2 linked regions of the Macaca fascicularis genome follow. The protein of the gene in region 1 interacts with the protein of each later gene in a pairwise test. Links are inferred from orthologs where the notes say so. Each region holds a gene or a part of one and is shown on either strand. Other genes may lie near its edges. The genes, in order: NFKBID and SS18.

Region 1 (4,591 bases):
CCCGGCATGTTGATGTAGACTTTGCCATCTTCTGGGGGTAGGGAAAGAAAGCATGAAGCCTGACCACCCACATCTCCACTTCCCTGGGGACCCCCTGCTTCAGGGGTTTCCTCAGGGGTTCCCCCGGGCACCTCCTCCAGGGTTTCCCCAGCACCTCCTCCAGGGCTTCCCCAAGGGCCCCCTCCCTGGGACCCCCTCCCTAGGGACACCGTGCACCCTCCAGGCCCCGCCCATCCCTGCCCTTACCTTGGGCGGGGCTGCGGCGTGGGCGTGCGCACAGGAACACCGCCCCCACGATGAGCAGCGACGCCACCGCATCCGCTGCCACGAGGCCTGCCAGGAGCGGCAGAGAGAGGGACCCACATCCGGAACAGGAGCCTGGAGAGCGGGGGCCGGAACAGGGAGACAGTCAGGCTCTGCGTCCTGGGGCTATGCTTTGGTCACAGGGAGACAGGAAGTCCCCTGTGAGGGGTGGGTCCCAGGTTCCCTAGGGTTGCGCTTGGGGAATGAAACAGGAGATAGAGATGCGGAGAGGCTGGGTGTCCCAGGACCCTCGGGGCTGTGCAGCGGGCACACGGGGGACTCCTGAACAGAGGCTGGGGGTCGCCGATTCTGGGACTTGGAGAAGGACACGGATTGTCTGATTTGGGGACGGGAGGTGGGATGGTGACCTGGAGAGCAACTGGGGTGTTCTGGGAGCCTCTGGCCAAGCTTCTGGGATGGAAGTGACACCTGAAGTGCCAGGGTAAAAAGCAAGGAGTGATCTCTCACCTGGGGTCGTCTGAGCTGCAGCCACTGTGGAAAGAGAAAGAAGGTAGATGAGGATGGAGAGAAGGTCCACAGAACAGAATGCTCAGTCCGTCGCGGTGGCTTATGCCTGTCATCCTAGCACTTTGGGAGGCGGAGGCAGAAAGATCACTTGAGCCCAGGAGTTCGAGACCAGCCTAGACAACATAGTGAGACCCCCATCTCTGCAAGAAATACAAAAATTAGCTGAAGGTGTTGGTTCGCACCTGTAATCCCAGTTACTCGGGAGGCTGAGGTGGGAGGATCACCTGAGCCCAGGAAGTCAAGACTGCAGTAAGCCATGATTGCGCCACTGCACTCCAGCTTGGACAACAGAGCAAGACCCCATCTCAAAACAAACAAACCAAAAAATATGGTGTACGGAAGGAAAGGTAGTGTCCTGAGAAGTAATCTCCATGTTGGAGAGATGGAACAGGGCCACATGGGAAGGGGACTCCCAGAGACATGGAGAGTGACAAGAAATTGGAATTGGCAGCAGAGACCCAGCCACGAGAAGGGGATGCTAACAGGCAGCCCCTCCAGAACTCCCTGCCTCACCTCCTTCCGCCCCCAAGGACCCAGGCTCTGAAGCCAAATGGATCTCCCAGAAGGGAAGGGGTGCAGGGAAAAGAACCCCACTTTCAGCACCCGTCCCTACAGACGTCACCCAAGCACCCATTTCACAAACACTCTGCCTACCATCCCCTGTAACCACTGGCTTCACCTGGGAGCAAAAGCAGGAAGAGGATGTGACCCAGATGGATCATGGTGGGCTGGGGTCTGGCAGGGGTCTGGTAGAGGACTGTGGTCCAGAGAAGTCCTGAGGAACTGTGGGGGAGCAGAGAAGTAGCAATAGCGGATGTCACCCTGCTGGTGTCAAGGCCATCTGCTTCCTGTGTCTGTTGAGGGGGTGTCTCCGTTATTGCCTTTGGTGAACTGACTCAGGGGGAGGGTCAGAGAGACCAGGGAGGCTGCTGGCCTGGCCAAGTGGGAATGACAGGTGGCCAGCGGTGCAGGCTAGGGAGATCTGGAAATATTTTGGAGGTACGGCCAACAAAATTTGCTGATGAAATGGATGTGGGTGTGTTTGAGAGGGATCCTAGACAGCCAAGCCTTCTGGAGTGAAAAGCTGAGAAGATGGGAGTGTCTGCTGGCAGAGATGAAAGGTGGGGAAGTGGGTTTGCGGGGAAAGTGACGAGGTTTGGGCACACGGAGTTGGAAATGCCTGATAATCTCCCTGTGGAGATGCTGAATGACCTCACTGCATTTAGGAGTTCAGGGGATAAGGCTGGTCTGGAGATGTAAATTTGGGGGTTGATGGCTTATGGATGCTACTTAAAGCCACAAGACTGGGTGAGATCACCAAGGAAGTGAGTGCAGACAGGATTCTGCCTCCATCCCAACACACACTGAATGGGGGAAGAGGAGGAACTCTGCCAGGGAAATGGAGAAAGAGGGAGTAAGGGAGGGGACACCGGAGAGCTTGGCATCTTGAAAGCAGGGGAGAGACCACCGTGGTGGCTCATGCCTGTAATCCCAGCACTTTGGCAGGCCAAGGCAGGAGGATCACCTGAGGTCAGGAGTTCAAGCCAACATGGTGAAACCCCATCTCTACAAAAATACAAAAATTACCCAGGCATGGTGTCAGGCTCCTGTAATCCCAGCTACTTGGGAGACTGAAGCAGGTGGAGGTTGCACTGAGCTGAGATCTCGCCACTTTGCCACTGCACTCCAGCCTAGGTGACAGAGTGAGGCCCTGTCTCCAAAACAAGAAAGAAAAAGAAAAAGAATAAGAAAAGAAAAGCAAGCAAGCAAACAAGCAGGGGAGAAATAGGGCCAACGTGGTCAGTGCTGTGAAAGGTCACCAAGTGAAACTGACAGTGGCCTCCCACTGGAATGTCAGCTCCAGGGCTGGGAATTCCTGTCTACTTAGTTCACAGTACCCAGCAAAATGCCTCCTCTGCTGCAATGAATTATTTTAAATGATGGATGAGTAAATGAAACCAGACCTCTGAAAAGGGTGATGTAGGGGAGAGGAAGAAATTGAGCCACACCCTATACCCTTACCCACAGGCCCTTTCTCTGGGAGTCTAGACCCCCAGTCCTCCCCTCCCTCTGGACCCAGTAATATTCTCCCTGCCCCCACCCCTATCTCCATTCCCACTCCTACCCCTACCTCCATGGGCAGGACCCAGGAGACAAAGCCTCCAGCACCCCCTTGGACAGACTCAGAAATCCAGGCCCCAACCAGGCACCACGGCTCAAGCCTGTAATCCCAGCACTTTGGGAGGTCAAGGCAGGTGGGTCACCTGAGGTCAGGAGTTCGAGACCAGCCTGGCCAAATGGTGAAACCCCGTCTGTCCTAAAAATACAAAAATTAGTCAGGCGTGGTGTCCGGCGCCTGTAGTGTCAGCTACTCGGGAGGCTGAGGCGAGAGAATCACTAGAAAAGAAATCCAGGCCCCCCAGTATCCCCCTCCTCTTGGAGCCCAGTACCCTAGGCTCCTTCAGACCAAAGATCTGGACCCCAGCTCCCTCCTTCCCCAGGGACCTAGTAGTCCGCCTCCCAAGTCCACCCTGCCCATTCAGGGACTGCGTTCGCCGGAGCGCGACCCGGGGACTCCCAGGCTTGTGGGCGGGCCCTGCCCAGGACTGGGCGGTGCCAGAACCCCTAGTTTAAAAACTCGCGGGTACCGGACCTAAGATCGGGGACCCGGCGGCGGCTCCGCGGGGGAAACAGCGAGGCTGGCGCAGCGCCGAGGCCGCGGCCCTGGGGGCCCGCAATCCACGCCAAGGAATCCCCGAGGTAACGGGTGCGGGTAGGGCACGCTCGGCCCGCTAAGAGAGTGAGGGACTGAGGATCGAAAGACTCCCGAGGCCCTGAGGGACGGAGCTGGAGCGTCAGTCCTGTGTCCCGAGAGTGAGGGTCCTAGGTGTTTGGAGGAGGAGGGGATCGTGGATCGTGACGGAGGGGCGGCTGGGATCTCGGACTTCTGGGTCCTGGGGGTGCAGGGGTCTGCGGACCTAGGATCGCGGTGCCCCGAGGGTGAAAGGGCTGGGAGGTTGGACCCCTGGGTCCTTGGAGGTGCTAAGGGTTGCTGGCAGCCGAGACTCCTAACCCTAGAAGGAGGGACTGGGCTGAGCGCTGGGGGGCGTGGTTGCTTAAAATCGGCGCGGGTCTCAGTGGGGAAGGGTCCGGAGCCTGGCCTCAGGGGTCTACGCTGGCGGTGACCCTGCCTCTGCCCCGCCCTGGGATTTCCGGATCGCCACCCGTGCGGGGCTGAGCAGGAATTCCCCTTGCGCGGGGATTCCACGAGCGCCACGCTCGGCCGCGCACCTCGCCTCGGAGCAGGACACCTGGGGCACAGGCCTAGGGGGAAGGGGAGGATGGAAGATTCCCTTGCGTGAGCGCCGTGGCGTCATTGCGCCGCGTCCGGGCGGTTTCCGAGCCGCCTCCTCCCGCCCCCGCCCCCAGCAATCCCCGCTTAACCCTTCCTCCGCCGGAACCCAGGCTCAAGGGTGAGGGTTGTCTTTCTGGGTCGTGAGAAGGAGTTTGGCAACCGGGGCTCCCAGGTCCTCGAGAGGAACGAACTGAGGGTACAGACTCCTGGGGCCTGAAAGCGAGACTGTATGGATGGGACTTTTTTTTTTTTTAATGGAGTCTCTCTCTGTCGCCCAGGCTGGAGTGCAGTGGCGCGATCTCTGCTCACTGCAACCTCAACCTCCGCCTCCTGGGTTCAAGTGATTCCCCTGCCTCAGCCTCCCAAGTAGCTGCAATTACAGGCGCCCGCCACCACGCCCGGCCA
Region 2 (3,809 bases), on another chromosome or scaffold:
ATTACAGTGAAGTAGCATTACAGTATTTTTACTCTTATTGTTACCATCCAGATTTATTTCAGAAAGCATTTGAGGAAATCAAGGTACCAAACTATCTTTTTTAAGTTTAGATAGAAAAATATTGTAACATCTCTCCAGTTCAAATCCTTCCCTGAGTTCCAGGGACTTAACTTGTTATGTGGGTTTTTGTTGTGTTAATTATTTGCAGGTCCTTCACAGGGTGGTCCAGGTCCTCAGTATCCTAACTACCCACAGGGACAAGGTCAGCAGTATGGAGGATATAGACCAACACAGCCTGGACCACCACAGCCACCCCAGCAGAGGCCTTATGGATACGACCAGGTAAGTAGTTTGAACGGCTACAGAATTGCCACATTGTTTGTTCACTCTTGATTAGGTGAACTTTTTTTTTTTTTTTTTTTTTTTTTTGAGACAGAGTCTCGCTCTGTCGCCCAGGCTGGAGTGCAGTGGCACAATCTCGGCTCACTGCAAGCTCCGCCTCCCGGGTTCACGCCATTCTCCTGCCTCAGCCTTCCGAGTAGCTGGGACTACAGGCGCACACCACCAAGCCTGGCTAATTTTTTGTCTTTTCAGTAGAGACGGGGTTTCACCATGTTAGCCAGGATGGTCTCGAGCTCCTGACCTCATGATCCGCCCGCCTCAGCCTCCCAAAGTGCTGGGATTACAGACGTGAGCCACCGTGCCCGGCCAAGTTTTTTTTTTTAAATTTAACTTGAAGCCTCATGTTTCCCTCATGAGGGAATGTTTATGGTACATTTGTTAAAAAGTATGTCACTTTTGAGTCTCATACTATTTAATAACACAGTTGATCATAGTTACTCTGTCATATAAAACATGGCCGTAACATAAGACAACTACATATATCTTCTCTCTCTCTCTCTGTCTCTCTGGTCTTTACCCTCAGGCATACTTTGTTTACTGAGGTAAAATATATATACAGAGTTTATCATATTTACCATTTTTGAGTGTACATACAGTTCAGTGTTAATTCATTTATTTCCCACTCCTTGATCCCTTCTCATCCCTTTTCTTCCCAACCTCTGGTAACCTTAGTGATTTCTATGATCCTCCCTGATGTTTATTGCTGAGACTTTGCCTTGAGCTACTGAGATGTGGAGTCCATCTGTGTTGATGCTTTCATTAGCACTCCACTTCACTCCAGCATATCCACTACACTTCCTTCACACCCGTAATATCCCATCTCTTTAAATTCAAACTTTCCGCCCTCTGTTGCCTCCTTCCACACACATAACTATTGTTTCAACTGTTATTTCTCCTCTACTTGTCATTCTACTTTCAGATATTTAGAAGTGTATCTCATCCTATGATGACTGATTCCCTTGAACCCAGTGTTCATTTAAGTTTCTTCTTTTTGTCATTAAACTCCTCAGACTTGTACCACAGTCATTGTTTTATGAATGTACTTATATATTCTCTGAATTATTATGGAAATGATTTATTATGGCAATTCCTTTAGGCTGGTTTCAGGTTTGTGCTTTTCAGTGAAGGTGGTCTGGTTTGTTCACCACTTAAACTATCTAAAATAGGTTATTTTTTAACATGGAACTGTCTTTAATATGCAGTTTAGGCTTTCAGGGCCAACGTGGGTATCTGGTTTGAGGAAAAACTCAGATGCAGTGGTAACTAGAATTTGAGGCGTGAGCAGTTCGTTTATCAACCCTCTCTCACGCCTGCAACCCTCTTGTATTGGCACTTCTTATTTAAGACAAGGGAGATACAAAAAGCAAGAATAGATAAGTAATATTTTTCCAAAATATACTCGAACAAAACATAAGGATCAGTTGGAGGTTTTATTAAGTTTTAGAAGTGAAATAAGTTGTGGCTAGTGAGTATTTAAAGGCAGGATTCCTGAGCAGAACAAATTTAGGCTTATTCTAATCTACAGCTGAACTTTTTAAAAAGTGAGATTCTGATCATGTATTCCGTCATTCAACAAAAATTTATTCTCCACGTGTTTGATACTGTAGTAGGTCCTGCAGAGGTAAAATAGTCAGCTATCTTGGTCTTCCTTGACCTCACTTTAGCTATTGGCACATTTTCCTTTTTCATTTTTAAATGGTCTTCTTTAGCTTCTATATTTCTGAACCATTTTGTTCCTCTTGCGTTTACATTGGTTCATTCTTTTTTTTTTTTATTGGTTTTCCTTTTTTTTTTTTTTTTACCCTAATACCAGTTCTTGACTCTGTTTTTTTTTTCTAGCCTCTGAATCATCCTGCCCTCTATTTTCAGTATTAGCTCTTACCTCTCAACCCAGTTTCAGCTCCTTTTTATCCAAATGTACAGAACATCTCTTGTCTTTGGATTCCCTCAGCTTTAGCATGTTGTAGACTAAACTCACCATTTTCCTTTCTAAGTCAATGTATTTCCAAATCTCCTAAACTTAAAGCCGTTCATTAAGCAAATGTTTATTGAGCAACCATTGTATGCCAAGTGCCATGTGAAGATTGGGAACATATTGGGAAATAAGATAGACATGGACTCAGCCTTTATGAACTTAAGTCTAGATGGCTACAGGCAGGTAAACATATGATATGATATAGTGTGATAAATACTTAGATAAGAGAAGCTAAGATTTATGTGGAAGGAGCTTCTAACTCAGATCTTGAGAAATATTCCTTGGGAAATATTATATTTAAGTGTGAAGTACCAAGGAAGAGCCAATGAAGCTAATGAAGATTCTGAAACCCAATACTAACATAATTATAATTGTAGTTTAGGCAGATTACTCTTATAGCAATATGCAAGATAAAAGGGGAGAAATTAAAAGGGTGGAAATTGCTACGATACTTCCCCATCGGTCCTCCCTATCCCAATAAACAGTGGCTCCATTCTTCCTGTTCCTCAGGTTAAAAACCTACAGTCCTCTTTGATGCCCCTCTTTGCAAAGCAAACATCTAGTCAATTAGCAAATCTCCTCACCTCTTCCTTCAAAATATATCCAATATCTAGCCATTTTTCACAGTCTCCTTTCACCCAACTGAAAGTCACAACTAGCACTCATCTGGACTGTTGCAATATATCCTTCTTTTTGGTTTTCTTGATTTTATCCTGCCTCCTCTACAAGATACTCTGCACATGGAGCCCAGAGTAATGTTTTAAAGACATTAGTCAACTCTGTGCTTACAACCCTGTGATGTTTTAAGTAAAAGCCATATGATATACTGGCCTACAAGGCCGTATAGGACTTGTGTTCCTACCTCCTATGCTACCCTCCTCGTGCCTGCCTATTTATGTCCCAACTACTTGCTGCCCTAATTCACTCTGCTTCAGTCACACTGGCCTATTTGCTGTTTCTTATATGCATCAAGTGAGTTTCTACCTGAGAACCTTTGTATTTGCTACCCCCTCTTCTGCCTGAATGCCTGCAGTGCCTCCAACCTCACTTTATTAAAATCTCTGCTTAAATGTCACCATATCATCTCAGAGAGTCCTTCACTGACCACCTAACACAGTAGCACCCTCCATTGCATCACTCTTTTTCCCCACCCTTTTCATAGTTTTTTGAACAGCTTAATTGAAATATAATTTACATACCATTAAACTACATGTAATAAAAGTATACAGATCTTTTGTGACATGTTTATACACACTTGTGAACCCATCAGCAGAATCGAAATAATGGAGTATCTATCATGCCCAAAAGTTTTCCCTGTGCCCCTTTGAAATCCCTCCACTTGCATCCCCTTTCCAGACCATGTCACTGACCTTTTAATTAAACTGTGGATTAGTTTACATTTTCCAAAATTGTATAGAAATTGAATAATACA

The links.
Region 2: the proteins of NFKBID (region 1) and SS18 interact in a two-hybrid assay, tested with the Homo sapiens proteins (2 studies listed by BioGRID and IntAct). The two-hybrid records come from large-scale screens. The link is inferred for Macaca fascicularis from reciprocal best matches to the Homo sapiens genes NFKBID and SS18.

Annotation. Positions count from the first base shown.
Region 1 is NC_088393.1:43,133,555-43,138,145, reverse strand, and holds the start of NFKBID (NF-kappa-B inhibitor delta), read left to right. Parts: upstream 1-1,787; 5' UTR 1,788-1,852; coding exon 1,853-1,952; intron 1,953-2,418; coding exon of another isoform or gene 2,419-2,426; exon of another isoform or gene 2,427-2,542; intron 2,543-3,484; exon of another isoform or gene 3,485-4,183; intron 4,184-4,280; exon of another isoform or gene 4,281-4,382; intron 4,383-4,591. Other genes in the region: HCST (hematopoietic cell signal transducer), read right to left, coding at 1-31, 247-378, 772-795, 1,511-1,614, 2,419-2,426. UniProt on the Homo sapiens protein: Regulates the expression of IL-2, IL-6, and other cytokines through regulation on NF-kappa-B activity. Functions in the regulation of inflammatory responses.
Region 2 is NC_088392.1:63,745,381-63,749,189, forward strand, and holds part of SS18 (protein SSXT), read left to right. Parts: intron 1-208; coding exon 209-342; intron 343-3,809. UniProt on the Homo sapiens protein: Appears to function synergistically with RBM14 as a transcriptional coactivator. Isoform 1 and isoform 2 function in nuclear receptor coactivation. Isoform 1 and isoform 2 function in general transcriptional coactivation.